4 linked regions of the Diceros bicornis minor genome follow. The protein of the gene in region 1 interacts with the protein of each later gene in a biochemical or structural test. Links are inferred from orthologs where the notes say so. Each region holds a gene or a part of one and is shown in the gene's direction. Other genes may lie near its edges. The genes, in order: MAGI1, FCHSD2, ADRB1 and CYSLTR2.

What was found.
Region 2: the proteins of MAGI1 (region 1) and FCHSD2 form a complex in vitro, tested with the Homo sapiens proteins (2 studies listed by BioGRID and IntAct, with this or other methods). The link is inferred for Diceros bicornis minor from reciprocal best matches to the Homo sapiens genes MAGI1 and FCHSD2.
Region 3: the proteins of MAGI1 (region 1) and ADRB1 interact in a test that uses a peptide from one of them, tested with the Homo sapiens proteins (2 studies listed by IntAct). The link is inferred for Diceros bicornis minor from reciprocal best matches to the Homo sapiens genes MAGI1 and ADRB1.
Region 4: the proteins of MAGI1 (region 1) and CYSLTR2 interact in a test that uses a peptide from one of them, tested with the Homo sapiens proteins (2 studies listed by IntAct, with this or other methods). The link is inferred for Diceros bicornis minor from reciprocal best matches to the Homo sapiens genes MAGI1 and CYSLTR2.

Annotation. Positions count from the first base shown.
Region 1 is NC_080741.1:65,066,372-65,073,711, reverse strand, and holds the start of MAGI1 (membrane-associated guanylate kinase, WW and PDZ domain-containing protein 1), read left to right. Parts: upstream 1-4,323; 5' UTR 4,324-4,335; coding exon 4,336-4,648; intron 4,649-7,340. UniProt on the Homo sapiens protein: Plays a role in coupling actin fibers to cell junctions in endothelial cells, via its interaction with AMOTL2 and CDH5. May regulate acid-induced ASIC3 currents by modulating its expression at the cell surface.
Region 2 is NC_080746.1:57,687,334-57,694,862, forward strand, and holds the start of FCHSD2 (F-BAR and double SH3 domains protein 2), read left to right. Parts: upstream 1-4,523; 5' UTR 4,524-4,828; coding exon 4,829-4,849; intron 4,850-6,603; coding exon 6,604-6,701; intron 6,702-7,529. UniProt on the Homo sapiens protein: Adapter protein that plays a role in endocytosis via clathrin-coated pits. Contributes to the internalization of cell surface receptors, such as integrin ITGB1 and transferrin receptor.
Region 3 is NC_080745.1:77,464,147-77,472,101, forward strand, and holds ADRB1 (beta-1 adrenergic receptor), read left to right. Parts: upstream 1-4,947; 5' UTR 4,948-5,173; coding exon 5,174-6,565; 3' UTR 6,566-7,885; downstream 7,886-7,955. UniProt on the Homo sapiens protein: Beta-adrenergic receptors mediate the catecholamine-induced activation of adenylate cyclase through the action of G proteins. This receptor binds epinephrine and norepinephrine with approximately equal affinity.
Region 4 is NC_080748.1:28,486,068-28,493,848, reverse strand, and holds the start of CYSLTR2 (cysteinyl leukotriene receptor 2), read left to right. Parts: upstream 1-4,764; 5' UTR 4,765-4,841; intron 4,842-7,781. UniProt on the Homo sapiens protein: Receptor for cysteinyl leukotrienes. The response is mediated via a G-protein that activates a phosphatidylinositol-calcium second messenger system.

The DNA of each region.
Region 1 (7,340 bases):
CAGGAAGAAATGTATTTGGGAGAAAGAGAAGAAATGCACATTTTATATTTGTGGCTTTTGTTTTTTTCTTCCCTTTAGTGGAACGAGCTATAGGAAAATAAGATCTTAATTTGTGCTGAGTTTATCATGTTATGGTTTACTTCTCATCTGAACCTACTGTGTTTATTAAGAGTGCATTGTTGAAATGCTTACGCAATAACAGTACAAGGACGTTTGGCACGTCACCTGTACCACAGCCCACAGATCTCCAAACACTTTAGAAATGTTTGCAAATTAATCCTCTTTACATTCCAGTAAATCATTCGATCGTCAGAGCCCACAGATGCGGAACAGGAGATTGGATTCCAGAGTGGAACACTGTATTCCTTCAGATGCAAGGGGGGAGACAGGAGGGTGCTGAATTAGTGTGCATACACTGTGTGGCAGATTCAGAAGCCAAAAACACGCTGTTACCCAAATATGCTAAATGGCAGACCGCCACATCCTACACCCACATAGCACAATGGTTCTGAGCATGGGCTTTGGGTCGTGATTCTGGGTTCACATCCAAGCGTTATCACTTCCAAGCTCTTGAGCAAGTTTCTTTACTGCCCTAGCTTCACTTTCCTCAATTATAAAATCAAGATCATTCATGTAAAATCAAGGTCATATGTACTGCACACGGCTGTTGTGATCATTAATTAAAATAATGCACATAACTACCCTGGCACGCATGATAAGCCTCAAAGTTAGGTATTTTATGGCATTATTTTCCTCATTGGAATGTATTGCCAAAGTCATAGCATAAGTGAGAGAAGCCACAACACTAGGATCCCACTTTACATCTATTCAAGAAAAATCTACTTCAAGACCAGGTAAATATGAGCTCTTTCAGGGAAACAATCTATCAATACCTGGGTTCCAGCCATCAAATCTGAGTGGGCTTTGTGTCAAAGGTCACATATTATACAATTTAACATTACACTTCATCCATGCATGCACGTATTCATTTAACAAGTATGTATGGTGCACACTCCACGCAAGGCATGGGTTTGGGTGCTGAGGATTCAAAAGTTGCATGGGACAGATATGATTTCTGCCCTGAAGTTGCTTCCAGTCTGGGACACAGGAACTGGACCAGGTGAAACAGTAGACAGAAAGGGTGAGGGCAAGAGTGTCTGGAAATTGGCAGTCTTAGCTGCTTTGGAGGTTGCAATTATTTCTTTTATGTTCTTGGATTATAGTATGTCTCTCTATACTGCTCTCCATCCTGCCCTCTGTACCCTTAGGTATCCCTTCTTTTCTTGGGCTTATTGCACTCTAAAATCTGAAGTGTGCTACATTCCAAGTTCTGTCCTCTTCTAGGGACACCTAGAATCCTGGAGAGGGAAGATGGTGCTGCTGCAGTGGGAGGAATCACAAAACACTTGGTCTCACCCATCCACTGGACTCCTCCAGGTGGGAGTGCGAGTTGAGCAGCGAGGTAGGGAACCACTGATTCTTGGCAGGTGGGGGAATTCTTGACAAGCAATCAGACTACTAGAATATAGAGTGGGGAAACGCTCAAGATTAAGCCTACTAGTGACTTGTAGGGAATCTGGGACTCTCCTCTAAGGTGGCATGCAAAAATGCGCACTTTTGTGGGAAGATCACTCAACAAATACTTGAGCATTAACTAGGTACCAGACACTGTTCTAGGAACTGGGAATACATCAGTAAACCAAACTGCCAAATTTCCCTGCCCTCATGGAGCTTACGTTCTACAGGAAGATGTGGACCACAAGCTTATTCTCCATCTCCAAAAGAGTATGTGATACAAAAAATGCTCAACAATCAGGATGCTAGACCTGTGGTACCAGCACCACTTAAGGGGAACTTTAAAGGTACAGATGATAGAGCCTATCTCTGAGATTCTGATTGGCTGGGTCTGTGTTTGGGCTCTGGAATAAACATTTTGAAGCTCCCACTCATTTTGATCCAGTCAAGTTTGAGACAAACTGATTGCTTCTGAGAAAAGAGGCTGGAGATGAAGTTTCCCTCACCAAGAAGAGCCAAGGAAAATTGGCTACTTCCTTCTTTCACAAATACTACAAGGACATCCCAAGAGAGAAGCATCAACATTCTTCACTTATTTTTATTAGCTTAGACTAGCACCCTACAGTGCTTTAAAAATATTTAAATGTACGCCTACATATTTTAATCTTTAGAAAGGTGGGGATGAATTATAATTATCATCATCTAACTTGAAACTCCAAATGATTTCCTAATTCTCTTTCTAAATACTACTGCTAATAATAATGTAAGTTATATGCCACTTTACAAGGATTCATTTTACAAGCTGGGCACTTTACAAGTGTTGTCGCATGCAATACTCCCAAGAACCTTGTGAGGTATTGTTATACTCACAAAACAGGAGAGTAATGGAGGCTCTGAGGGGTCACAGAGCTTGCTCAAGGTCACACAGAGAGTGGACCAATGGGAACCCAAACCGCAAACCCCAGCTCTCACCCCCCACTGCTGCGGCATCCCATCGCTTCTGAATCCCTTCCACGTACCTCCCTTATTTAGCACTTGGAATCTCTCCTGTGACCAAAGATGAACAAACAAGTTATAAATCACTAAGAAAGAGAAATTGCTCGGGAGACTCTACCGCCCAGGCCGATTTGGGGAGTATCTGGGGTGGGCAGCCTTCCTGGTGCAGGCTCTTTTTTAGGTCCGCAGCCCCCAAGTTCGTTCTGCAACCTCGCCGGGACAGATGCTGGCTCTACCCCCGCCCCAGGCCGGCGCCAGAGGTGAAGGCTCTCTCTACACCCACCCCCGGGCTGCGAATTCCGAGAGGTGGCTGCTGCGCCCACGCCCCACCGAGTGCAGATCCCAGACCCGGGGGTGAGCCTTATCTCCCGGCCTCGGCGGGTCCGAAGGCTTCCTGGCTCAGCCAGGAACTTGAGCCCGGGACAGATGACTGGCTCCAGAAGTCTTTGCTGGAAGGGCAGTTAAAAAGCTAGACCCCCTTTTGGGTGGAAGACCCGATCCCCTTCTAGTCTTTTGGCTTCTTTCCCTCGCCTATCGTTTTCCGTGGGTCCTAAAAAGTTCGCCCCAAAGTTTAAGGGTGCGGGTATGTGTGTGTGGGAGTGTGTGACGCTAACAGGGATCCCAGTTAGGGGGTCCAGGGGGCCCCCACCGCCCCCATCCCCCAGGGTCGTAGAGACACTGGCTGACGCCGCTCCAGGACCGGAACCCGCGGACGCAGAGCAGGCGGGGAGCAGACGCGCGCCTCCGGATCAGGCTCAGGGGTATCAGAGGGAAATGTGGCGGGCGGCGGCGGACAAGCCGGGCTGGGTGACCGACAGCGTGGCCAGCCACTGGCCGAGGGCGGTTAGGAGGCTTAGGCCGGCGTGAGCGCGTGCGTGTGTGCGTGAGTGTGAGCGCGAGGGTGAGTGTGCGAGCCTCCCCAACCCCCACCTGTTTGAAATGGTTTTAAAATGCCAAAGCCAGATTGCCCATATATCAAAAGTTGCAAACAGTTGGAGTAAAACACGTGCGCGTCCCCCTAGCCCCAAAGGGATTTCTTGAGTCTAGGACACTGAAAGATAAGCAGCAGGAGGAATAAAAGAGGTGTAAGAAAAGCAGTAAGTTGCCGTCTTCTGAGGGTCGGTTTTAGGACCCAATGGGAAGCACATTGGAATCTCTTCCACTGGGAAGGCGGGGCGGGGCGGGCCGGCCGGCAGGCGGCCGCGGGGCGCATGCGCGCGCGTCTCCTCTTGCCGGCCGCTGCGCTCGGCGGCGCGGAATAGAATGAACTGTAACAAAACAAGCCGAGCCTTTGTATCTGCTTAAAGGGGCCGCAGGCGCTTCCCTCCTGTTCCCCTCCACCCCCGCTCCGCAACCGCGTCTCCAGGGCTCCCAGCAACTGGCTGGAAGGGCTTCCCTCACCCTCAGGAACAGCCCGCCAACGAGGAAAGGCGAGCCAGGCGGGAGGCGAACAGGCGACACCGCGTTTCTAAGAGGCAAGAAAGAAAGGAAGGAAGGAAAAAAAATAACCCGAGCGGCGCAGAGTGGACTCTGATCGGGAGAGCACGGTCGGGCGCCGGAACGTGGACCTAGAGGCGCCGGAATGCAGACAAAGCTCGCGGGCGCTTGTGCAGGGCTCGCGGGGAAGCCCAGAAAGTTTGTTTTATGATGGCTTGAGTGCGCGAGTGTGTGCAGGGGAGCGGGGCTGCCAAGTTTCTCTCTCCCGTTGCGTTACTTGAGGGGAGATGCCTCTCCCATGAACCAGCGGAGGCTTGGGGGCTTGTGCTGTGGGGGGCACCTGTCTCTCATTATTTTTTGGGGGGGGAAGGAGGGGTGTAACTCATCATGTCGAAAGTGATCCAGAAGAAGAACCACTGGACTAGCAAGGTTCACGAATGCACCGTGAAGCGGGGACCCCAGGGCGAGCTGGGGGTGACGGTGCTGGGGGGCGCGGAGAACGGGGAGTTTCCGTATGTCGGAGCGGTGGCGGCGGCCGAAGTGGCGGGGCTCCCCGGCGGCGGCGAGGGCCCGAGACTGGGCGAGGGGGAGCTGCTTCTGGAGGTGCAGGGGATCCGGGTGTCCGGCTTGCCCCGCTATGACGTGCTGGGAGTCATCGACAGCTGCAAGGAGGCCGTCACCTTCAAAGCCGTCAGACAAGGTAGGACGGGACGCGTGTCTGGGAGGCGTCCCCAGAAAAGGGGAGCGGTCTTCGGAGTGCGCTCCCCCCACCATCTCGATTTCGCGCTTTCCTCCTCCGAGCGGGGCGAAGGGGGGAAGTTGAGGCCGTGCGCCCTGTCGTGGTGAAATACGCAGAGTTGTTGGGAGGTTGTGGGTTGTTTGCCCACCTGCGTTGGGAAGAGGGGGTTGGGTTTGCGCAGGGAAGCGGGAGATGTTTCCCAGCCCTGGTTTGCCAACCTGTTATCTCAGCCACCAAGTGCAGCGCAGCTTCGCCTGCGCCTGGAGAGTGGGGGAACTGAGGCAGGGGCAGAGGTGGACGCTTTCTGGGCTCCTTGAGGGAGTGATGCAGCCAGGGGAAACTGCTGCGTGCTTTTGCCACTTGTCTGTTTCCAGACCTGGACAATGGGTATGAACGAGGAGAGGGTCTTGAGTTATTGAACCTCCATCAGAAAATCGGCTTCACCCTGCACCCCTCCAGGTGGGTTGGGGCCTGACTGCCTGGCGGTTCCTAAGCCCGCGGCCTGAAGATCCTGCATTCACCTTACAGCCAGATGACGCATGTGTCTCCACCGTGTGGCCCAGCCCCGGGCGTGGGGGGCGGTGAGAGGGGGTATTTCTTAGCGCAAATCAAGCCCAAGTTTGTGCTGCCACCACCATCACCACCACCATCATTGATGATGATAATGGTAGCTGCTATTCACTGTTAGCTTCCTGCGTGCCAGGCTCTGTGTCAAATGCTTTGCTTGCACTCCCTTGTTCTGATTCACAGTTCTGAGAGTGAGTTGTTCTTATAAACCCCATATTACAGATAAGGAAACTGGGACTGGCGTTAGTTAAGTTGCTTGCCCAAGGTCACACAGATACCAAAAGTGAGGGTTTGAGCCCTTGCTGCAGAGCCTTAAGCACTGAGGAGGTGGAGGTAGGGGGATGACCCTGGGGGATTGGAGGGGCTGACTCGTGAGGAGGGAGTGGAAGCTAATTTCTCTCTCTGAAGCTTGTAGAGGAGTGATGACCTCTATGGTGGCTGCTGGTGGTGGAGAGTCCCTTATATCTCAGTTTGGTGCAGGCAAGTGGCTGTTTCTATGTCAGTCCAACAGAGAAGGATTCGATTCCATTAAAGGGATCACTTGTAGGACCAAGCGTTATGATGCATCTTCGCCCGCATGAAAGCACCAGAGGAGGTGGCCAAGTTGAAAGCACCAGAGGAGGTGGCCAAGTTGAGCGTGGTGAAAAGTTCCCATGTGTGCCTGCAGGCCTGGAAGGGCAGTAGCAGCTAGAGGAATGTGTCAAAGGACAGGAGGGCTGGGCTGGGCTGGGCTGAGCTGAGCTGAGCTGAGCTGGTCTGGTCCTCCTGGAAACAGGCCTGTTCCAGATGCAGCGGAGGAGGGGGCAGGGAGAATTGGGCCTTTTAGTAGGTTTGGGAGCTGAGGAGCTGACAGTTATGGAAAACTCTTTCCATTTATGTCTTCATCTTCCACTTGGACACCTCCTCCAAGAAGCCCTCCAGCATCCTGCCACAATGAACACGCCTTCCTCCTCTGGGCTCCCCTAGTGTGTACCTTGTAGTTTTTTACTTGCTCTGAACTGTGAGTTAGGTCCCTTCCCTCATTTCCATCCAAGGTGGTAGGCTCATTGAAGGGAGAGGCTGTGCCTCATTCACTGCACATCTCCCCAGGCTTTGCTTGAGGTCCAACACCTTGACTCACCTGAGAATGTGTCCTCATCTGTAAACTGCCTCTTCCGTGGATAATACATAAGCTAATAAGTGGAAAGTGCAGAACAGAGCCTGGCACATGGTAAATGCTCAATAAAGATGAGCTATTATTGTTATGTTTAAACTGAATTTGAGCAGTTATTTATTTCTAAGTGTAGCTTTATTGTCAGGAACCTGCATTATGAATTTAATGCCAGTACCTGGATTATTAGGACTTGATAGAACTGTAGAGAAAATACTGTGTCAAAGCATTTGATGGGAGCAGCTACGGTTCCCAGTTCAGGGGCATTTTGGAGAAAGGGCTGGAGGAAGGACAGCAGGGGTACCTGCTCATCTAGTGGGGAGTCTACTGGTGTCTAATGGGTCCTGTATGGGGACTTGTTTTCAGTGGGCATGAAGCTGAATGTGGCTGATCCTCCTCTTTCCACCAGTTATCAAAGATCAGGGAGGCGTTGTCCCAGGGCTGCCTCATCATGGAACTTAGGAAGGTTGGTCACATGATCAGGTGTGTTTGGAATTGGACACCTCTGGGTTAGAGGGAAACTGTGCTGTCTCCAAGTGTAACCTCCCTTCACCCAGAACTATTCTCTGTGCTTCACAGGAGTGTTCATAGCAGGGGTGTGTGTGTGTGTGTGTGTGTGTGTGTAAATCTACTTGTTCTCCTTGTAATAGGGTAGAATAAAGATGTGGATGGGGACACTTGAATGGCCTGGAATCCACTACAGTGTGAAAGCTACTGTTTCATGTAATAATTAACCTAAAATTGTTGGCTCTTCTGACGTCTTTATTAAAGAAAGATGGCACTAGAAAGCATGTCACCAGTCGTCTGTTCCCTCTTTCATATCGAGAATGTGATTTAAAGTATACGACAGAATTGATCTTCCTGTGTCTTCATTAGTGTCTTAATTTTAATCATATTAGCTAGGCTCATACTTGGTACATGGTAGAGGAAAATGTT
Region 2 (7,529 bases), on another chromosome or scaffold:
CTGATGTCACAACCATGTGACTGCCAGCTCCTACTACAGCCCTGGGACTGGCTGTCCCCTCACGCCCACCCCAAGTTGTAACACTCCCTGGCCGGGGCACCAGCTGACCAGGTAATTCCCTGACCCCGTGTCTGCCTCTCAGGGACTCACCTCTGGCCTTAGACCCCTGCTACCACCTGGTGGAATCTGGGTCCCTCTGACTCCTAGGCCCTGCATGTCCTGGACTCACTGCTGTGACCTTTGGTCCACGTGTTAAGCTCAGGAGCTCCTGGAGTGCAGGGCCTGGGCCTCACCCCAGGGACCTGCTTACAGCTGAGCCGAGAGATGCTAGATGGAATGGTCTAGTTCTGCCACAAACTCACTTTGTATCCTAGGGAGAGCCCCTGCCATCTTCTGGTGGTCACCGATCTTCCTCAGTCCAGCGGGCTGTGATTCTCTGTCTTGAGAGCTTACTAGTGGAGAAGACAGGCACATTCCAACACTAGGCTGACCAGAGGGATGCGTTGAGGGGATTAGCTCAGCCAGGAGCAAAAGCGGGTATGTGTGTTTGGTGGGTGGAGGTGCAGCGGGAAAGGCGACTAGGGTAGAAGGGAGATGAATGGGCTTGGGGTCCACAGACTGCATTGTCTGCAGCAAAATCCCTAGCTAGGCTCGCCAGGGCTCGGGCAGGGAACAGCTGGCATCTGGATGGGCTGACAGGTATTCCTGAGCAGACTGTACCAGTGTGAGTTGGGATAATGACAGAGCAGGAAAGGGAATAGAGTGGGCTGTGAACAGAGCTGCAGAAGGGTAGGGAGGTGCCTTGGTACAGTATGGACAGATGGGATGGTGATCACCTATTCCTGGAGAGAACTTGTCCTGGGTGCTCACTCTGGACCAGGGTGGGGTGCTGTTTACATTCTAGCCACACTCAATGGCTGCTGCAAACTTTGCCTCTCTGGGGTTTCTCCTGGGAGCCCTATGGAATATTGGAATAGTTCATCTTCCAATGCCCGCTCACATACCCGCTCCAGGCCAGCTTCCAATCCTGGCTCTGACTTAAACTTAGAATAACATTCCTTCTGGGAGACTGCACAGCAGCACGCATGCTGGAGGGAGAGCACAGCTTCAGAGCCAGAGTGAGCCAAGGGCCAGGCTTGGCTCTCGTCGTGTCCTAGCTGTGTCACCTTGGGCAGGTCATTTCATTTCTGAGCCTCAATGTTCGAAGTTTGTGAAATGGGGTCATATGTATAATGAAGGGTTGTTGTGAGGGTGAGAAACAATGTAAATAACATGCCTAATTCAATGCCTGAAATATGGAAGAGGCAAAATAAATAGTAGCTTAATATTAATTTCGTCCCAGGGTGAGAATCCCATCTGTGGCCTCCTTGATGGAAGGAAGCCAGTACCTGCTCCCACAGCCCCAGGGATGGGGGAGCTCACCCTCCCTAGGGGCGGCTCTGCCTGGAAAAACTCCTTTCTTAGATGCAGCTGAGACCTGTCCCAGTTCTGTCTCTAGGGCCACAGTGCATGCTTCTCTGCGGTCATGGGACAGCTCTGTGGCATTTCCCCCAAAGAATCGCAAGAGATCTTACTGGGAACACAGTGCTTGCCTGCACTGCAGGAGCAAAGCTCTGGAAGTCCCCAGCCTGGTTCGAAGGGGTACATTTTAAGTCAGTCTTACATAAGCCACAGAAATCCCTTGCCCCATCCCTGTCGCATTTGGAACATATGGATTGCATCCTCCTGAGTCTGCTTTTTTCCTGGGTGAACTCTTCCAATTCCTCTGAACATTCCTCATAGATGCAAACGGCAGAGCTGGGTTCTGGTCCCAAATCTATCACTTCACGGCAAGTCACTTATCTTCACTGAGCCCCTAGTTCCTCATTTGAAACATGAAGAAAATCCTCTCTAATAGGATTACAGTGAAGATTAGGTCAGAAAAGTAATATGAAAGTTTGGGGTTTGGAAAAGCACTTAGTAAATATTAAACATATTTTTAAAACACCACATTTTTGAAAAAGGAGTTAGCTGGTGAGCCCATCTGGTGTTGCCCCTTAGCTTTTTATTACACCTCCAAAGGAAATCATTCCAGAAAATCACTGCCATTCCTGGTTTCAGAATAATAGCAAATCAGGTGGAAGATGCCCTCCTAAATCCATAAAATAAAGCCCCAGGGACTGACTTTATCTGTGAAGAGCCTACTAAGTTCCAGGCTCACTCACTCACCTTATTTTGCATTTGAGGACCAAGGCTCAGAGAAGGCCCAGCAGATCAGTGGTAGAGGCTGGATCCCATCTCTCAATACCCAGCACCTTTATACCCCAGGGCTCACTTCCAGAGGGAAGATAATCTCTGGGCCAGACTAGTTGCACCCAGGACTAGGATTCAGCAAATCTTTGTTAAGCATCTCCTATGTGCAGGACACTGCATCTGGGCAACCATTGTCACCCCTCCCACACTAGCCCAATGTCATTCATGGAACAGCTGGTCTGGAACTCAGCCTTGGTGAAGCCCTCAGCTAATTTGGTCTTGCTCACTCCTGTATCCCCACTGTCTGGCACAAGGCTTGGCACAAAGCAGGACCTTAGCAAATATTTTTTTGAATGAATGATGAATCAGTGAGTATTTATTGAGCACTGACTATGTGCCAGGCCCTGTGGTAGGAGAAACTCCATTTAATACAACAAGTCTGCGAGGCTGGTATTATATTCCCATTTTACAAGAGAGGAAATAAAGGCTGAAAGAGGTGAACTGACCAGCTCAAGGCCTCGCAATGACTTGGTGGTGGAGCTGAGACTGGAGCCCAGTCTGGCTACCTCTAGCCTGAGCTCCAGCTGCTGGCCCACAGCTTGCAGAGAGCTGGGCCTCTACCCACCTGTTCCCTTGCCCCAGGCCTTCTCTGATAGTAACTGTGGACTCTGGTGAAGGGCCAACTTTTGAATGGCCTCAGGGAAACCAGAGATAGCAAGCCTGGCCTCCCAGTTCACACACAGCTCTAGATTAATCTGACTCAAGCATACCTCTGATTCTATCACCTTCCTGTACAAGAATCTAGGCTAACTCAATGTAAACAACCTTGGTTCAAGTTCAACCTTCCCAATTTCTGGCCATCTGGTCTTAGGCAAGTTATTTGGGTCTTTCCAGGCCTCACCCACTTTCCTCTTTTGCCTCACTACACTTCTGAGAACAGGTGTCTGGGACCCCAACTTCTGATAAAACTTTGGGGAGATCTAGTTCACCCTCCACACAGCCCTGTGGCTTCAGAAGAGGTATTTTCATTTTTCTATGGACTCCAAGGGAGGCTGATACCTCGCCCCCCAAGATGGTCTGGTCAGAGCAGGAACGTGGGGTGGGGGGAGGCTGCCTGGACGAACATCCTCACGGGCAGATGAGGAAGCCCGAGCTCACCCAGCCAGTCGGGGACAGGCAGAGTGGACTGGCACCCAGAGGTCCTGACTCCCAGATAAGGGCTTCCTCCATTGCCCTGCTGCCTCCTCTCCTTTTCCTTATGGTTATCATCTGCACCTGTTTCTTTATAACCCATAGAACACTCCGTGACGCAGAGATTCTAGTCCTGCTCCGTGACCTTGCCTCCCAATCTGTGAAACAGAGGCTCTGGCCTTAACGACCTCACGGTTGCCTTCCAGCCGAGTCCGTGCTCTTTGACTTGAATGCCCTGTAGCAGAGAGCCGTTTTTTTCTTTGCAGGGCAACTAGACCCCGCCCCAGGCCCCTGCGGCCGACTGCGAAAGACTTATCTATGTCCGCCCCCTCTGTGCTTGTCTATCTGGCCGGCTCATCCGCTCAGGAGAAAGGTGTTGCAGGACAGAGAAGCAGCAAAAAACGGAACTCTCCTACTGCCATAGGCATGCTGCCCCCCTCCCCATTGTAAAAACTTCTCTCCGAGCGTCTCGCCCCCTACACACGCATACACACACAAACACCGCAGCTGCAAAAGCCGGCGGGAGGCGGGGGCGGCTTGTGCGCGTGCGTCGCCGCAGAGCCCTCTCCCGCCCACGTGCGCGCCCCCGACGGGAGGCGCGCGCCGCGGCGGGCAGGCGGCAAAGCGCGCGGGAAGCCCCCGGCCGGCTCCCAGTGTGGGGGAGGGAGGACAGAAGGCGTTTGGAACGTGCCACTCTCGGAGAGAACGGGGGGACTTTCGTGCTCCGCTAGCATTTCTACTCCTCCCATTCGCCGACAGATCCGTTAGTTCCCCCAGTCCCCCGCCGCGATACGGAGCCCCGCGCCGTGGCCGCGCTCCGTCCCGTTGCCTGGCCCGGCCCCTTGAACCCGGCTCGGGTCTGAGCTGTCCCCTCGGCTGCCGGAGCGGGGCGCTGCGCCGCGCGGCGGGGCCGGAAATTCCCGCGGCCTGAGCAGAGGGCCCGAGGCCGAGAGCGCGGCGCCGGCTTCCTCCTCCGGGGGCCAGGCGGGGGCGTTGGGCTCAGCGCGGGCGGGGCTCCCCGAGTTGGGGGTGGGGGGGGCCGCGTCTGCGAGGAGCCGGCGGCGGCGGCAGGGTGCCGGACGACGTCGCTGCTCCTAGCGAGCCGCTCGGCTAGCGGGGAGACCCTGCGCCCCAGCTCCCGGGCCCCCGCCCCCTCGCGGTCTCCGCCTCCTTCCCTCACACACCCCCGGGCCGCCCGAGCCCAGGCCTTCGCGGCGCTCCGCCTCCTTCTCTTCACACTTGCTCTCCGACCCGGGTCCTCCTGCCGCCCGCCGGCCTTGCTCCCTCCGGGGCGAGTCCTCGTTCCCAGGCTCTCCTTTCACACACGCCCGCTCGCTGGGCCGCCCCCTCTCCTCGTCCTAGCTAACGCCGCCGTCGGGGGGAGGATTGATGTCCCTTCAGCATCATGCAGCCGCCGCCGAGGAAGGTGAGGGTGTAGCTGGGGGGTTTTGGGGGGATGCATACGAGGAACGCGGCTGGGGCGACCGCTGCGCCCCTTCCCCCCTTTCCGCAAGGGGCCTTGACCGCTGTCGCCTCGGGCTTGTCACCGAGTTGCCGCCGGCTCCAGGCGGGGGGCGCGAGGGTGAGGTGCCTTTCCGACGGAGGGGCGGCCGGGGCTCGTGCCCTCCACCGCGCGGAAGACCCCCAGACGTTTCACAAGAGTTTCGGGTGTGCATGTGTGTGTGTGTGCACGCGCATGGCAGTGCTGCTCGCTGCAAAGTGCATTCTCGGGGCTGCACCGAGGGGAGGCGGGGGAGCCCCTGCAGCTTTGCAGAGCCTTGTGCTTGTGTGATTGTTTAGTCTGCACCAGGTTTGAGCCCTCCAGCTGCTTGTTCATCCTCTCCCATTTGCAAATTTGTAGGGAATTTGTTTCAAGCCTAATCTTAAGGTTTGGCCTGCTTTTCCCACGGGGCGGCCGAAAAGAAGTTGGAATAGCTACCGCCCTTCACCCCAGGGGAAAACAAAAAATTAAGCATTGATCGGACCTGCCTTTCTCCCACTACTCCTGCCCCCCTCTCCGGCTAGGTGCGAGGGGGCGTTGGTGCTGCCCCTGGACAACGAGAACCAGGCAGTGCGTGGCGTGTGCCCCGCGATCTGGGTTTGGGGTGGGAGTGAAGGGTGCGCTGGGCTTGTCAGCAGCTTTCTCGCTGCGCCCTTCGAGAACTGTTTCACTGCCCGCTTCCCCAGCTTTCTCAGGGGCTGAGGCTGTGTCCTTGTCTTTTTAATCCTGCAGATGGTGACTGAGTGTCTACTCTGGGCGCTGGGTGGAGGAGACTGTTCTATCCTCCCCTCGTGGGCAAGGATATGCTGAATGTCTAACTCACTCGTGTCTGTTTCCTTTCCTTTCTTTCTTAATCCGGGTTTCTCCAGTTAAGTGAATCTTTTTTCTTTCACCCACGTACCCCCACCCCTCCGGGAAGCCTGGCTCCGGCGGCGTGGATTCCAGGCCCACTATGACCTGGAACCCTGGGGTCCGGGCCTGGCGGGCGAGGCACTGGCCAGCTTGCCATTTGCTCTTCTAGCTGTTTGAAGTGGAGCCGCCACGGGGACCGGCTTGCTGGGGTGGCTTAAAGGCACCGCATATGCTGGAAGGTCACTTTTGCTTTCTCCTTTGTGAGAAAGAGCTTCTGATTTGATGCGCTGTCAGCGAGTGGAGGGCATCATCCTGAGACTGTGTGCTTTCTCGCAGCCATTATGGAATAATTTATGTAGTCGATTCATGCATATAATTTCATGATTGTGTAAATTTCGGTCATTAGATATTAGGCATTCTTATGTTCCCTTCTCCCACCTACACTCTGCTCACTTCTCCTGGTGTTAATGTCTTTGAATCTTTTTTGGAAGAAAAAGAAGGCAGACTTTTACAACTCTGAGAAGACTTAGATATGTACTGAGCTTGTGCATGAAATGGAATGACTGGCAGTTTATTTTGCACCTCTTGAATCTGTAATTTATATACTCGTGTACTTTCATTTAGCCTCTGTTTCAGGTTATTTGGCTAGTTTTTTTCCTTAAGTATCTTCAGTAAACAAAATTAGTTGGCTAATAATGAATTTATGGTCTTCAGGGGAGAGGTGAGCAAGAGCTATATATTCTGACAAGTTTAAATATTTTCCTTAAGTAAGTTTTTTTGTTGTTAAAGTTGCAGTAAGGCCTTCATAAATATATGGTGTATTTTAGGTGAAAGTTACACAAGAACTGAAAAACATTCAAGTTGAACAGATGACGAAACTTCAAGCCAAACATCAAGCAGAATGTGATTTGCTTGAAGATATGAGGTAAGGTTATAGTAAATAGTTGGAGAAGTTCTGTATCTCTGTTTCAAAGAATCTTCGAGTTACCAAGCTCCGGGAACTGATGATGGAATTTCCTTTTGGATTTCCTGCTTTAAGGCTGTTAGAGCTTTGACTCAGCTAGAAATTATAACTGGAACTAACACAATACAAACTTTTTTTCCTTTAGTGGAAGAACCTATAACGTACACACACTATTATGAAAAAACAAGGGCCTTTTTCAGTCAAATTGTAATCATGGAAGTAGAAAGTCTTATTTAAATAATCATTCCACTGAATTGTAACATTTATTGACCTTAAGGATTTCACACAGATTTTTAAACTGCCTCTGGTTAATGGTTAATATCTGGGGGTGAGCCAGTCAACCTCAGATGATTATATACTAGCACTGTTTTTTAGAACATGACGAATATAACTTTGTCTTTAAACATTATATTTAGTGGGAAATGTGTTTATCATATTTTTATCATTAAAGTTACCTGGATTCATAATCAAGATAACTTTGAATTTGATAGGTAAGATATCTTGCCAGCATTGTGAAAATCAGTATCTTTCTTTATAGAGGGAAGCATGACTCATTTTATTGAAAGAAACGCCACTTATTTTATTTAACAATCCTGTAACACTGACAGTTCAACAAACATATTTTTGGAAAGGATAGAAGATGATTTGCGTGTTGAAACAGAGTGGCTGCAATTCTTATATCCCTTTAGTAAATACATTTATCAAATTGGAATTAGGTCTGTAAGCCTCATCACTTGCCTCTTTTTTCCTGCGGTATACAACTTCATGTTGGTTTCATGAAAAATATTA
Region 3 (7,955 bases), on another chromosome or scaffold:
ACTGTGGCTGCAAAACCAGTACATGACCTCAGCACCAGCACGGGTGCAGGCTGTTCTTGGCTGGTTAGCACTGAGTGACTGTTTTAGCAGCAGGATTGCTTTATGTGAAAAGTTGTATATCTTTCTTCAGAAACAGCCACTTGAGCTCTGATTAACAAACCCGCCACCAATTATCAGCCTCGAGGCTAATTTTGCTAACTTACTGATTTGATACACTTCTTGGGGCTTTACTTGGAAACTCCCCCCAGATTTCCTTTGGCCTACCTTCCAGCAGTTGTCCAGTTAGGCTGCTCGCTTTTATTTTTATCTCATTTTCTAGTCAAGTCAACTCAAGGATGGAAATGTCTTCACCAAGCTCCTGGCTCACAAATATAGGTGGGCTGGTGGCCTATTAATCACTGCTGTGCAGACCTTTAATTTAATTTAGATCTTGAAACTAGATTCAAGTCATCAGCTATTCTCCCAGGGCAGAAATGCCTGGATATATAGCATCATAAATGAAGGCTAAGGAAAAAGGTCCTTCATCTTGAATATTTATGAAGATTATGCAGTGCTTGTCACTGATGTGGACTTACATGGCCCCTTTGGAAAACCTCTTACCTATGCCCCACCTTATTCATTACTGAATAGGTATGATATAAATTTATTTATCTCATGAGCCTATCTTGTATTTGTAAAGTATTTTGAAACGTTTATATGAAAATATTGACTATGCTATACGAATAAGAATTATTACTGTAAATTATAAGCATGAGGGAAGACTGTAACTCCAAGAACACTCAATTATTTCTCATACTAGTAAATATGAGAATATTTTAATCAATTAACCACTAAATATTTATGAATCAAAGCTTAATGTTAATTAATATTAAGTAAATATTAGTAAACATAGGAGATATAAAAATGTATTGGGTAGTCCTCTCAGTAAGTTTACAATCCAAATGAGGAGAAAAACATATAAAAATTAAATAACAATATGAGAGATGCCAAAAGACAATATATTAATTGCCACCTGAAATGCCATTAGCAGAGTAACTACTATAGGTAGAAGAAGGAGAGGGCATTTCCAGAAGCAGTGGGCACTGATGACTGTAAAACAGAAAAGGTATCAGCCAGATTTTGAAGGCTGAATCAATTGAGACAGAGACGGAGAGGGGATTCTTGGTGGAAGGAACTCAGTGAGAAAGAGTATAGATGCAAAAAAAAAAAAAAAAAGGAACAAGAGTATAGATCCAAAGAAGGAAAAAGAATACAGAACTGCAAGACAGGGTGATATGGAGAGTTCTAGTACGAGATAGGGCTGGAAAGGCTATTTGGAACTGGACTGTGGAAGGCTTTGAATGCCAAGGTGAGGCATTAAGGTTTCTGAACAGAAAAGCATCTTGGTCAAAGCAGTGTCTTAGAAATACTAACTTGGCTATGGTATGCCAGATTCAACGGAGTGAGGAGCACCAGGGGCCAGGAGATCAGAGGGCCCATGGCAAGTTGAGGTGTGATGGCAGTGGGAGGGGAAAGTAGAGGAGGGTCAGGAATCACCTCTTGAGGTGCTCAACAGCATTTGTTCTTGGTGCCCTCTGCTGCTTTCTAAACTATCGTCACATCCGTGGGTTCCGAAGAACAGTTTTGAGTGGGGAATCGTGAAATGGAGGAGTCATTCATTTTGCACTTGCAACATGTCATACCTGTATAAGTGGATATGTTTCGCCTTTTCTTCTTAATCTTGTATCCTTATCTAAGGACAAAAAAATGTTAGCTCAAAAATGTCAAAAAAAAAAAAAAGGTGCCATAAAATATACGAATTACAGGAGATCCGAGAACATTTTATTTTAAAAGAAAGTTAACTCTCGTTAAATAGGGACTATTCCAAAGATTTCCAACAGTACGACTGAAGGAAAGCCCCAAGAATCCCTGGGATCCCTTCACGCCTACAGCCCTATGTTAGAACTTTTATTAAAATAACCACCTAGGTTTGAATATTTATGATTTAATGTGTTTATTATCCAGATATCAGAGAAATTTGATGTATTTCTGAATGAGACGGAGAGTTTGGGGACAATTCAAATCTCATGCCAGAACACATGGTGCATTCATACACATGCATACAGATACAAATACACGTATGTATACAAATACATACATATTTATACATACAGTAAAGGTACTGGCATCCAGGCCTCTGCATGGAACCTCTACAAACAAGTTCTGGCCTTATCGTTCACAGAAATGCAAGCCCTTTGCCCTTCAGGGGCACTTAACGGATGGCACAGATGATTCCAGAACACCACTTGAGAGAAAGATGGCGCCGGATAGAAAGCCACCTCCCCACATTCCCCACACGTCACCCCACACAGCCCAGCACTCAGAATCCCTTTCCCGGGCAGCATCAGACTCAGCTCTTTCCAATCCCTTGGCTATTTTGAGACTGCCCCTTGAGAGAGCGAACAGAAAGGAGAGGAAGGGGAGACAGGTTTGCAGTGACTCTGGTAACTAAGGCTCACACTGAACTCAGGGTGCAGTCCCCCTTCCTCCGCTCTTTCTAGTCCCTCTCCTGTCCTTGCTCCACCTCCCCAAGTTGGCGGAACTAGGTTAACAAGTCCTGGGGCACGGGTGAATAAACAACTAAATCACCCACTCCTACTCCCTTGTAACACTTTGATTATCAAGTTTGGGCCTAAAGCAAATTTACATGTTTGCATTTCAGTAAGAGAAGGTGGTTAAAATGCTTGACTTTATAAAATGAATAGGCATTGCTTTTAGCTCTTGGGTAGCTACGGAAGTCAGTCTCTCTGCAAAGTAAGAAAGACACTAGAAAGATGTGTGAGCATTATATAACATTTTCATGCACCCTTACATGGGTAATTAGAAGCTGTTTACTTCTCATGGATTCAATTAAAGGCTTTGTATTTTCCACCAATTTGTAAAGGTACATGCACCCATGTGTTCATTGCAGCGTTATTCACAATAGCCAAGACTTGGAAGCAACCTAAGTGCCCATCAAGGGACGAATGGATAAAGAAGCTGTGGTATATATACACAATGGAATACTACTCAGCCATAAGAAACGATGAAATCCAGCCATTTGTGACATCATGGATGGACATTGAGGGTATAATGCAAAGTGAAATAAGTCAGAGGGAGAAGGTCAAATACCGCATGATTTCCTTCATTAAGTAGTAGATAATAACAACAATAAACAAACACATAGGGACAGAGATTGGATTGGTGGTTACCAGAGGGGAAGGGGGGAGGGAGGAGGGTGAAAGGGATAATTCGGTACATGTGTGTGGTGATGGGTTGTAATTAGTATTTGGTGGTGAACATGATGTAATCTATGCAGAAATAGAAGTACAATGATGTACACCTGAAATTTTTACAATGTTATAAACCAATGTTACTGCAATAAACAAAAAATTAAAAAATAAATTAATTAATTACTTAAAAAAAAAAAAAGGCTTTGTATTTTCAAGTCCAGCTGAGAACCTTACCGAGGTGGAATTAGAGGAGGCGCTTTCAGTCCTGCTGCCGCCTCGGGTGTTCCTAGTGGCTATCCCGTGGTCAGTTTGCACATATAATCCACCAACAACTAGGCTAATGACTCACTAATTTCAAACCAATTCATTTGCCAACTCAAAAACGACTGATGCAACTTTAAATGCTATGGGATTTTAATCCTCTTTAGTATTTACATATTTTCTTCTCTCATCTCTCCAAAACTAAGCCTAAAGCTTCGAGAATCTAGGAACTTGGGCAAAGGGGAAAACAATCAAGCAGATCAAGAAATCTGAAATCTCAGTTCATTACATCAACCAAAATTAACAGTGCCTTCCTGTTTGTATTGACCTAGCTCAAATTATAAAATCAGGTGAGGAATAAACACAAAAGATAGGTGTTATCACTGAATGTGAAAAGTCCGAAATGTAATTAAACGTGTTCTTTCTTCGCGGCGGTGTCATTTACTCTGCGTTAACATTTGTGTTTCCTTAAGTCTCTGTCTTTATATTATCCACACACACTGTTGCATCATACTCACACATTCATTAGCTGGGACTGGGGAGTGTGTGTTTTTCCAACTGATCCTCAGCGTTAGCTGTCAGAGGCACAAACCTTTGCTTCCTTTACGCATCTACCGCGCCGGAACAACAGAAGCTCCTTGCAAGAACAGTGCTCAGAGAGCTTTCCTGACAGATGCGCGGTTTGCTCTAGCAAGGCGCTCTGCTGGAAAGTTTCCTCTACCCACTAACACCCGCCTCCGATCAGCTCGATCCCCGGAGCTGGCAGGACGCAGCCTGGCTGGGTCCCCTCTTGACAGAGGAAGGGTTTTACACACACTCTGCTAGGCTACCCCATCCGAGAATCAATCTGGCAGCCAAATTCCTCCAACCCCGGCGGACAGACTGTCCAAGGCACTCTGGCCCTTCGAGAACACCGAGGTCCCCTCTCCGCTAAAGGGACCACGCGCCTTGCTCCGCAGGGAATCTGCGCCCTGGGGATAGAGGGGATGCCTGGGGAGCGGGAGCGCAGGAGGGAGCTAAACGCCAGAGGCAGAAGGGGCGCAGGAGGGAGCGGAGTGCAGGAGAGAGCGGAGTGCAGGAGAGAGTGGGGGCCGAAGGAGGGGGCGGGGACGCGAGTGGGAGCCGGGCGCAGTCGCGGGCCAAGGAGAACAGGGCGCTGGAACTAGCGGGCTCAGGAAGGGGCGCGCGCTCAGGAACCGTGGGCGCCGGGGAGGCGCTAGCTCGCCGACCGGTCCCGGACTCCCCAAGCCGCTGAACTGCCGGTGGGAGGGTGGTGCGGGGAGTTGGTGGGGAACTAGATAGGGGCGTGCCTTTTGCCGGGATTGGCTGCACGAGCCTGACGCGAGGCCCCGGGGGTTGGCTTGGGGGAGTGCGAGCTGGGTGGAGTGGGTGCTGGGTGCCGGGTCTGCGGGCTCAGCGCGCTCAGAAACATGCTGAGGTCCCGGCAGCTGTTCCAGCAGCAGCGGCGGCGGCGGCGGCGGCGACAGCGCTCGGCTCTGGCGGGGAAGGCGCCCGGCGCCCATGCCTCCGGCCCCGCGCCGCGGCTGCCCTGACCTGGCCGCGACCTCCCTCGGCGCGCCCCGCCGCCCGGGCCTCTGGGGTGTTCCCCAACCACGGCCCAGCCCCGCCACACCCCCCGCCCCCGGCCTCCGCAGTTCGGCATGGGCGCGGGGGCGCTCGCCCTGGGCGCCTCCGAGCCCTGCAACCTGTCGTCGGCCGCGCCGCTCCCCGACGGCGCGGCCACGGCGGCGCGGCTGCTGGTGCCCGCGTCGCCGCCCGCCTCGTTGTTGACCCCGACCAGCGAGGGCCCCGCGCCGCTGTCGCAGCAGTGGACGGCGGGCATGGGCTTGCTGATGGCTCTCATCGTGCTGCTGATCGTGGCGGGCAACGTGCTGGTGATCGTGGCCATCGCCAAGACGCCGCGGCTGCAGACGCTCACCAACCTCTTCATCATGTCCCTGGCCAGCGCTGATCTGGTCATGGGGCTGCTGGTGGTACCGTTTGGGGCCACCATCGTGGTGTGGGGCCGCTGGGAGTACGGCTCCTTCTTCTGCGAGCTCTGGACCTCAGTGGACGTGCTGTGCGTGACGGCCAGCATCGAGACCCTGTGTGTCATCGCTCTGGACCGCTACCTCGCCATCACGTCGCCCTTCCGCTACCAGAGCCTGTTGACCCGCGCACGGGCGCGGGCCCTCGTGTGCACCGTGTGGGCCATCTCGGCCCTGGTGTCCTTCCTGCCCATCCTCATGCAGTGGTGGCGGGCAGAGAACGACGAGGCGCGCCGCTGCTACAACGACCCGAAGTGCTGCGATTTCGTCACCAGCCGGGCCTACGCCATCGCCTCGTCCGTGGTCTCCTTCTACGTGCCTCTCTGCATCATGGCCTTCGTGTACCTGCGGGTGTTCCGCGAGGCCCAGAAGCAGGTGAAGAAGATCGACAGCTGCGAGCGCCGCTTCCTTAGCGGCCCCGCGCGGCCGCCCTCGCCCGCGCCCTCGCCGGGGCCCCAGCGCCCCGCCGCCCAGCTGGCCAACGGGCGCGCCAGCAAGCGGCGGCCCTCGCGCCTCGTGGCCCTGCGCGAGCAGAAGGCGCTCAAGACGCTGGGCATCATCATGGGCGTGTTCACGCTCTGCTGGCTGCCCTTCTTCCTAGCCAACGTGGTGAAGGCCTTCCACCGCGACCTGGTGTCCGACCGCCTGTTCGTCTTCTTCAACTGGCTGGGCTACGCCAACTCGGCCTTCAACCCCATCATCTACTGCCGCAGCCCCGACTTCCGCAGGGCCTTCCAGCGCCTGCTCTGCTGCGCGCGCCGGGCCGCCTGCGGGAGCCACGCGGCCGCCGGCGACCGGGCGCGCGCCTCGGGCTGCCTGGCTGTGGCCGGGCCGCCGCCGTCGCCCGGGGCGGACGACGAGGACGACGACGACGACATCGGGGCCGCGCCGCCCACGCGCCTGCTGGAGCCCTGGGCCGGCTGCAACGGCGGGGCGGCGGCGGACAGCGACTCGAGCCTGGACGAGCCGAGCCGCCCGGGCTGCGCCTCGGAATCCAAGGTGTAGGGCCCGGCGTCCCTCCCCACCTCCCCAGCCGGGACGCAGGCTCTGCGCCCCGGGAGGAAGAAAGCCCGGGCGCCCCTGAATGGCTTCCCAGGGGAGAGAGATCTGTGTTTACTCAAGACCGAAAGCAGGTGAACTCGAAGCCCACAAACCTCGTCTGAATCATCCAAGACAAACAGAAGAGCCACGGACCGTTGCACAAAAAGGAAAGTTTGGGAGGGGTGGGAGAGTAGCTTGCTTATCTTTCTTGGGTTCTTTTTTCTGCTTGTGGTTCGGTCATCTTTTGTGTGTGCGTGTGATGCATCTTTAGATTTTTTTTTTTTTTTCCAGGTGGTTTTTGACACTTTCTGCGAGGACCGGGTAGGGGGGAGAAGCATCAGGGCATAAAAGTCTGTCAACCTGGCTTCCATCCCATTCTCGGAACAGGAGCAGGCAGCCGGAGAGAGAGGGGGCGATGACCATTGGTCAGGACGTGTTTCCTTTTGCTTTCCAGAAAAATTTCATTTTAATTCCTGAGTCATGATTTCTCCTGTTCTTAAAATAAAGGGAAAGGATGGATGCAAAATCACGTTTCAAGAAATTTTAAGCTATTCTTGGAACAAGCCTCACCTTGCTTTCCTTTTGTAGGACAAGCCTGCTGTCCCCACGCGCCTCGGAGGTCAGGCCAAGGGGTGTCTACCTCACACTGTGCACATTGCACAGCACGATAGAAAGACTTGTTTATATTAAACAGCTTATTTATGTATCAATATTAGTTGGAAGGACCAGGCGCCGAGCCTCTGTGACATGTGACTCTGTCCATTGAAGACAGGACAGAAAAAGGAAAAAAAAAAGTAGAAACAGTTCAGATTACTGCACATGTGGGTAAAAACAAAAAACATAAAAAAAGGAGTGGTTCAAAATGCCATTTTTGCACAGTGTTAGGAATTGCAAAGTCCACAGAAGATGTTACTTGCACAAAAAGAAATTAAATATTTTTTACGGGAGTGGGAGGGGTGGGTGCAGATCTTGAAAACTAAAATAAAATTCAAACTCTACTTCTGTTGTCTATTATGTTATTGAGCTAATGATTTATTGGGAAAATAGCTTTTTATACTCTTTTATCATGGTACTGTAACTGTATCCATATTATAAATATAATTATCTTAAGGATTTTTTTTATTATTTTTTTATGTCCAAGTGCCCACATGAATCTGCTGGTAAAATTTCGCACTTGTGTGTAAATTCTATTTCCTCTGTGTTTTACCAAGTATTTATACTCTGGTGCAACTAACTACTGTGTGAGGAATTGGTCCATGTGCAATAAATACCAATGAAGCACGATCAAGATTATGTACCGTGTGTCTGTAAGGGGTCAGTGACAATGGAAGACTGTTTCGTTCAAAGTATAGGC
Region 4 (7,781 bases), on another chromosome or scaffold:
GAAACAAACTACAAGCAAAGCAAACAAAGCCTTCCTTGTTTATTTTCAAGGAAGCATTTGCTATTTTCTATCCAGCACAACTAAACTTCTCACAATTTTGTGCTCCTCTCAGGCCCTAAAATAGTGCTTTCTATTTTTGGAGATCAACAAATAGTTCAGGTTGACTGGAGCAAGGCTTGGGAATAAGAGGACCACTAAGAGGAAATGTGACCTGAAAGAGAGGCTGGGGTGGGACTACGAAGGCGGAACCACTAGTAGACTTGGGCTTGAGGAGTCACTGCCCTAGGGGCCATGCTTTTGAGGACCCCTCTCTGGTCCTCCTCCAGCCCTTCCTGTCCCAAGGGGGCGGGAGTCTGTGGGGCAAAGAGGTATGCCCACCACCCATCCCCACTGCCCTGTCTATAGTGTGTCCGGGATACCTGAGAATTCCCTAACCTAGTGTCCCCAAGGGCTGTGTGGCCTCTTCTTCAGATATGTTGGAACATATGATTTGTGTAGCTCTATGTCCTAGCGGTGGCCAAAGGTGGCAATTTGCAGGGTGAGGAAATGGACATGAAGGCTGGAGTGTCCACAGGCCTAAGCGTGGGAAGAGAACAAGGGCAGCTGCAGCATTAACAGCTCTTCTGAGGTGGCCATGTTCCAGCTAGAACCCCAGGGAGTCTGAGAAGTCTGCACAGATAGCATAGGAATCCAATAATTTACAAACAAATATACAATATTAGAAGAAGGAGTGATGGTGATGAGCACTATAAAGCAAAATAAAGCAGGGTAAGGGGATAGAGTGTGTGTGGGGGAGCTCTTCTTGAAAGGGAGGCTGGGGAAGTCATCTCTGAGGTGGCGGCATTTAAGCAGAGGCCCCAGTGAAGTGAGGGAGTGAGGGTTCAGGGCCATTCCAGCACATGTGCCTGGAGGAGCAGCAGGGAAGTCCTCACGGCTAGTGATGAAGTTGTAGAGATGCGTAGCAGGGGCTGAGCAGGTCTGGCCTTTGTAGACCGTGATAAGGATTTTTCTTTTGAGAAAGTTGGGAAGTCATTGCAGAGTTGCGAGCAGGGGACAGACATGATATGATTTACTCCTTAAAAACTTGATTGTAGGGGCTGGCCCGGGGCATGGTGGTTAAGTTTGCACGCTCCACTTTGGTGGCCCGGGGCTCGTAGGTTTGGATCCCGGGGGCAGACCCACGCATGGCTCATCAAGCCATGCTGTGGTGGCAACCCACATACAAAATAGAGGAAGATGGGCACAGAGGTTAGCTCAGAGCTAGTCTCCCTCAGCAAAAAGAGGAGGATTGGCAACAGATGTTAGCTCAGGGTTGATCTTCCTCACAAAAAACAAACTTGACCGTAGAACAGCAAGAGTGGAGACAGGAAGACGATTAGGTAGGATGTTCCTACAGCATTCTTTTTTTTTTTTTTAGACTTCTTCCAATTTATTTTTTTAATTATTTGTTTTTTAAAACTGTGGTAAAATATACATAAGACAAACTACAATTTTAATGGTTTTTAAGGGCACTGTTCAGTGGCGTTAAGTACCTTCACATTGTAGTGCAGCCATCACCACTATCCATTTTCAGAACTTTTTTCATCTTCCCAGACTGAACCTCTGCACCTATTAAACAATAACTCCTCATTTACCTCTCCTTTCTGCCCCGGCAACCACCCTTCTACTTTCTGTCTCTATGAATTTGACTACTTTAGATATCTCGTATAAGTGGAATCATACAGTATTTGTCTTTTTATGACCAGTTTATTTCACTTAGCATAATGTCCTCAAGATTCAGCCATGTTGTAGCATATGTCAGAGTTTCCTTCCTTTTAAAGGATGAATAATATTATATTGTATGTTTATATCACATTTTGCTTATCCATTCATCCATCAATGAACACTTGAGTTGCTTCCACATTTTGGCTATTGTGAATAATACTACTATGAACATGGGTATAAAAATATCTCTTCAAGACCCTGCTTTCAGTTCTCTGGGATATATACTCAGAAGTGGAATTGCTGGATCATATGACAACTCTATTTTTTTAAATTTTTTTTATTTATTTATTTTTTGTGTGAGGAAGACTGGCTCTGAGCCAACATCCATTGCCAATAGTCCTCTTTTTGCTGAGGAAGATTAGCTCTGAGCTAATATCTGTGCCCATCTCCCTCCGTTTTTGTATATGGGATGCTGCCACAGCATTGCTTGATGAGTGATGCATAGGTCCACACCTGGGATCCCAACCTGCAAGCCCTGGGCCACTGAAGCAGAGCACGCAAACTTAACCACCACGCCACCAGGCCAGCCCCAGGACAACTCTGTTATTAATTTTCGAAAAACCACCATACTATTTTCCATAATGGCTGCACCATTTTACATTCTGATCAGCTGTACACAAAGGTCCAATTTCTCCACATCTTTGCCAACTCTTGTTTTTTGTTTTTGTTTTTGTAATAGCCATTTTAATGGGTATGAAGTGATATCTCACTGTGGTTTTGATTTGTATTTCTCTAATAATTTTTGATGTTGAGCATCTTTTCATGTGCTTATTAGCCATTTGTGTATCTTTTTTGGAGAAAAATCTGTTCAAATCCTATGCCCATTTTTTAATTGGGTTGTTTGTTTTTGTCGTTGTTGAGTTGTAGGAGTTCTATATATATTCTGGATGTTAATCCCTTATCAGCTATGTGATTTGCAAATATTTTCTTCCATTCTGTGGATTGCCCTTTTCCTCTGTTGATAGTGTCCTTGAATACACAAAAGTTTTTAATTTTGATGAAGTCCAGTTTGTCTATTTTTGTTTTAAAGCCTGTGCCTTTGGTGTCATATTTAAGAAATCATTGACAAATCCATGAAGCCTTTCCTCTGTTTTCTTCTAAAAGTTTTATAGTTTTAGCTCTTATATTTAGGTCTTTGATCTATTTTGAGATAATTTTTGTATATGATGTTAGGTAAGGGTCCAACTTTATTCCTTTGCATGTGGATATCCAGTTTTCCCAGCACCATTTGTTGAAAAGACTGTCCTCTCTCATAAATGACCTTGGCACCCTTGTCAAAAATCATTTGGCCATATATGTGAGGGCTTATTTCTGGACTTTCTATTCTATACCATTAGGCTATCTATCTGTCTTTATGCCAAGACTACACTTTTTTGATTACTGTAGTTTTGTAGTAATTTTTGAAATCAGGAAGTCTCAGTCCTCCAACTTTGTTCTTCTTTTTCAAGATTGATTTGGCTATTTGGGGGTCTCTTTACATCCCACATGAATTTTAGGATAGATTTTTCTAGTCCTGAAGAAAACATCATTGGGATTTTGAGAAGAATTGTGTTGAATCTATAGATCCATTTGGGTAGTTTCGACATCTTAACAATATTAAGTCTTCCAATTCATGAACATGGGCTATCTTTCCATTTTTTTACGTCTTTTTAAATTTCTTTCAGCCATGTTTTATTCTCAGTGTACAAGTCTTTCAATTCCTTAGTTAATTAATTCCTAAGTATTTTATTCTTTTTGATGCTATTGTAAATGGAATTGTTTTCTTAATTTCCTTTTTTGATTGATCATTCTTAGTGTATAGAAATACAACCGATTTTTGTGTGTTGATTTTGTATCTTGTCACTTTGCCAAATTTGTTTATTAGTTCTAACAGGTTTTTTTTTGTGTGTGTAATCTTTAGAATTTTCTACATAAAAGATTATATCATCTGTGAACAGACATAATTTTACTTCTTTCTTTCCAATTTGGATGACTTTTATTTCTTGCCTGATGTTACTACATCATTCTATCTAAGAAATGATGGGGATTTTAATGGGGATAAGGAAGGTGAGAAATGATTGGATTTTGGACATATTTTGTAGGTAGAACAAATGGAATTGTTGGCTTGGATGTTGGTTGTGGGAGAAATAGAGAAGTTAAAGATGACTTCTAGGTTTATGGACAGATTAACTGGTTGAATCATTGTGGTGCCATTTGATGAGATGGAATAAATGGGGGAGTGTATGCTTGGGAGAGGAAGAGAAAAGCTCTGTTTTGGCTATATTAAATATGGTCGTGGATGTGGATAATGTAGATAAAAGCAAGAGAATACGGTGGGAACTGCTCAAAAAACAAACTTTTGGGGCAAGCTCACATGTAGAAAAGGGGTGGAAGAAGAGGTATCAGAAAGGGAGGTAGAAAAAGAACCAGGAGACTCAGAGAAACAGGGAGAAAGTTTCAAGAAAGTGGCATTGGTTAACCGTGCAACAAGTTGAGGAAAGAAGATGAGGACTGAGAAAGGACCTTTTACTTGAGCAATGAGGAGGTTGTTGGGAATCTTCGACAGAGCATTTTCACTAGATTGGGTAAGGGTCCCCCTGAGTACCAAGTCCCTGGAAAAGGCTAGTGGGTAACGGGAAGTGCTCTAAACAGCTCTAAAGTGTTGTCCGTGTAAAGCGGTGTTGATGTGACTGTTGTCATGGAAACAGAAACCATTTAGGAGAACTAAAAGCCGCTTAAAACCCCTGACTCTAGCTCATCACAGCCCCTTGATCTGTTGTGAAAGACGGTAATAAAAACAGTCATTAGAGCGGCAGGGCTAATGCAGGTTTCTTCCTCTCAGATGTAGCCCCTAACTGGAAATCTTCCCCCCTTCTTGAGAAGGAAGCCAGCACCAACACCCACACCAAGTTCTATAAAGCACAGCTGACCTGCTGACCAAAGTTCCTTACTCTCTTGCTATTGGCTGACGCTGTTCATAATATATAATTTGCTGTTTCACTTTTCTTTTAAAGAAACAAGCTGAATTACTTGCAGGAGGAGGACAGGAGAGGGAGAGGAGACAGAAGCCAAGGCAGCTGAAAGAAAGAAAACTTCAGGTGAGCATTTTTATCTTTGCTTTGTGAATTCATTGATGAATAAGCCTTTGCTTATTCCTTCATAGTCAGAAGAACAGTTTTTGAAAAGCAGATTTATTTTGTTCTACTATAAATTTTTTTCTACTAAATACACAATAGCTTAAAAAATCTTGGGAAAATACAAAAAAGTAGAAGGAAGCAAAAACCTTCACTGAGCTAGCCTCTATTGATATTTTAGGGGTATTTCTTTCCATTCTTTTTTGTGTGTCTGCATACGATTTTAGTTTGATTTTCATAGTTGTCTTCATACTGTATGGATAATTTATTTTTTCCGTTAAAGCATAAATTTTTTCCACGTTGCTGTAAATTCTTTATAATCATAACTTAAAATTGCTGCATGATATTGCATTGAGGAGATTTACTATCCTTTAGCCAAGCATTCTCCAATTTTGGGCCATATAGCATCTTTCCTATTTTTCATAGACTGGGTCATTTGATTGTGTAACTTATATTTTTTCCATTCAGGGTCTTGTTCTTTGGGGAGAGGAGGTTGAATTTGAGAATGCAGATTTCAGTGGTTTTACTCAGAGGCACAATGAGAGGGAAAGAGTGTGTGCTTGTAATCTGCTTATTACCCCTTTGGGACCTCAATTGGCGGTACTCAACTCTGGCTATAGATTCACTTAGAATCAACTGATTCTGAGGAGATTAGAAAATTACCCCTAGAATAATTGAAACTTAACTTTTGGTGATGAGTCAGTCATCTGTAGTTTTTTTTTTTTTTTTAATTTCAAAAATCTACCAGGTGGTTCAAATGGGTGGCCAGTATAATAACGTCTAATCTAGGTTATTTGAAATATTTTCTGTCTCTGACACATACCTGAGAGTAATACATCTTAAGGGAAGGGAGGTACACTTTCAGGCAAGCCACTCAAGTCTACCTTTCAATGCTATATAAATAATGCAAGAGTAATTTGTGGGAAATGTAAGACTTCTAGAAATTTCTATCATTCATCTCAACCACATAAACTCTTGAGATGAGAATCTACTTGAGAGTTTCAATTTACTAATATTTTAAAGAGATGGATTCATTTTCTGGTGGTTAGAAGTTAGAGAGGTTGAGGGTCCAGAATGTTCTAAATGTATCAAAATTAAGCCTAGCATCTGTTAGTAGCCTGCCAAGGTAGCCAGACTTCCTTTCATTTGCAAACTCTTCAAGGATCAAACACAAGGTGAGCATTTAATAGCTGCTATTAAATGTTATTAATAGGTATGAATTTTAATAATATTAAAAGGCAGAGCAAAGACTGATGGGATTGGATTTGGAGGCAGCAAGTGGATTATCCTGGCTATCCAGGAGCGTAGACATGGCACTTACTTTTCTGGACCCCATGTCCCGAGAAGGAGAGTGGACAGAGTTTATACCAGAGCTATGCTCTGGTTTTTCCAATTAGGAATTGAGAATAGACCAAAGGCAGCTAAACCAAGTCAAAGCCTCTGCTGCTGCATAGCCTACAGCAGGGATGTACTTCTTTTAAATCAACCTAACTTGATCAAGAGGATGTTAACGAAATTTCTCCTTATTTTGACTCAGTGGTGGAGAATATCTGTTTAGCACCTTCCTTGATGAACCTAACTGTTCACATAGTACTTCACTATTTACAAAACTCGTTTACATACAGTAGTTCATTTGACCCACATAATGGCCCTGCATGCTGGAGGGTGTAATTCTTATTTTACAGCTGGCAAAGGTGAGGCCCAGGGAACATAGGATCTTTCCTAAAGTGGAACCAGAATTGGCCCTGGTTGAGCCCAGGGCACATGTCCCCTTCCTTACAACTTGGATGATAATTATTGTAAAAAATTTATTGAAACAAATTTTGTTATGTCTATGTAACTGAATACTCTTTTAGCCATTTAAATGACGTTGATGTTGGGGCCCGCCTGGTGGCACAGCGGTTAAGTGCACACACGCTCCGCTTCGGTGGCCTGAGGGTTCGTAGGTCTGGATCCCCGGGCTGCACCAACGCACCGCTTGTCAAGCCATGCTGTGGCAGTGTCCCATATAAAGTAGAGGAAGATGGGCACGAATGTTAGCCCAGGGTCGATGTTCCTTAGCAAAAAAGAGAGGGATTGGCATCGGATGTTAGCACAGGGCTGATCTTCCTCACAAAAATAAATAAATAAATAAATGACAATGATGTTTATTAATTGGCACAGAAAGGTGATCATGATACAGTGATAAGAAAAAAGCAAGGTACAAAACAGCATTATTATAGACACTCATTTTTGTTTAAAAATATTTGAAGAAACATGAAAGGAAGCAAATGCACAAAAATTCAGATATGTCTGGTTGGTGGTAAATCTTGTAATTTAAGTTTATTTCAGCTTATATTACCTTGTTATTTTTTACCATAAACATTCACTACTGGTGTAGTAAAAATGTAAAGTAAATTAAATAGAATTGTTCTTGTCTTTCTGGTTGGCTCTTTTCAGATGAAATTGTCCCAACTCCTTTTACTTGGCCACACAGAATCCTCCCATTTAATTCCCCATGAGTTTTGTTCATTGTTGTCTCAAATCTTATTGTTATCGTTAGCTAGCATCAACTGAAAACTTACCAAGTGTCAGGGCACCAAGTTAATCACTTCCCATCCATTTTCTTCATCAATACTCACTCTAGTCCTCCCTATGCAGATAAGTGTTTTGAAGCTCAGAAAGGTGAAGTAATAAGAGTGACCAAGAGGCAGAGCTGAGACTTAAACTTGGGTCTGTTCTAACTCAAAAGCACATGTTCTCATTCATTATACCATCCTGCCTCCCTATCCATCTGGGATCATGCGGCGTACCCTCATCATCTAAGCAACACTCATTTTGGAAGAAAGACGATATATCTTTGCAACATACTCATTGCTATGTGTCAGGATCACCTTGAGTATTTTTAGTATCTCGTGTGTATTC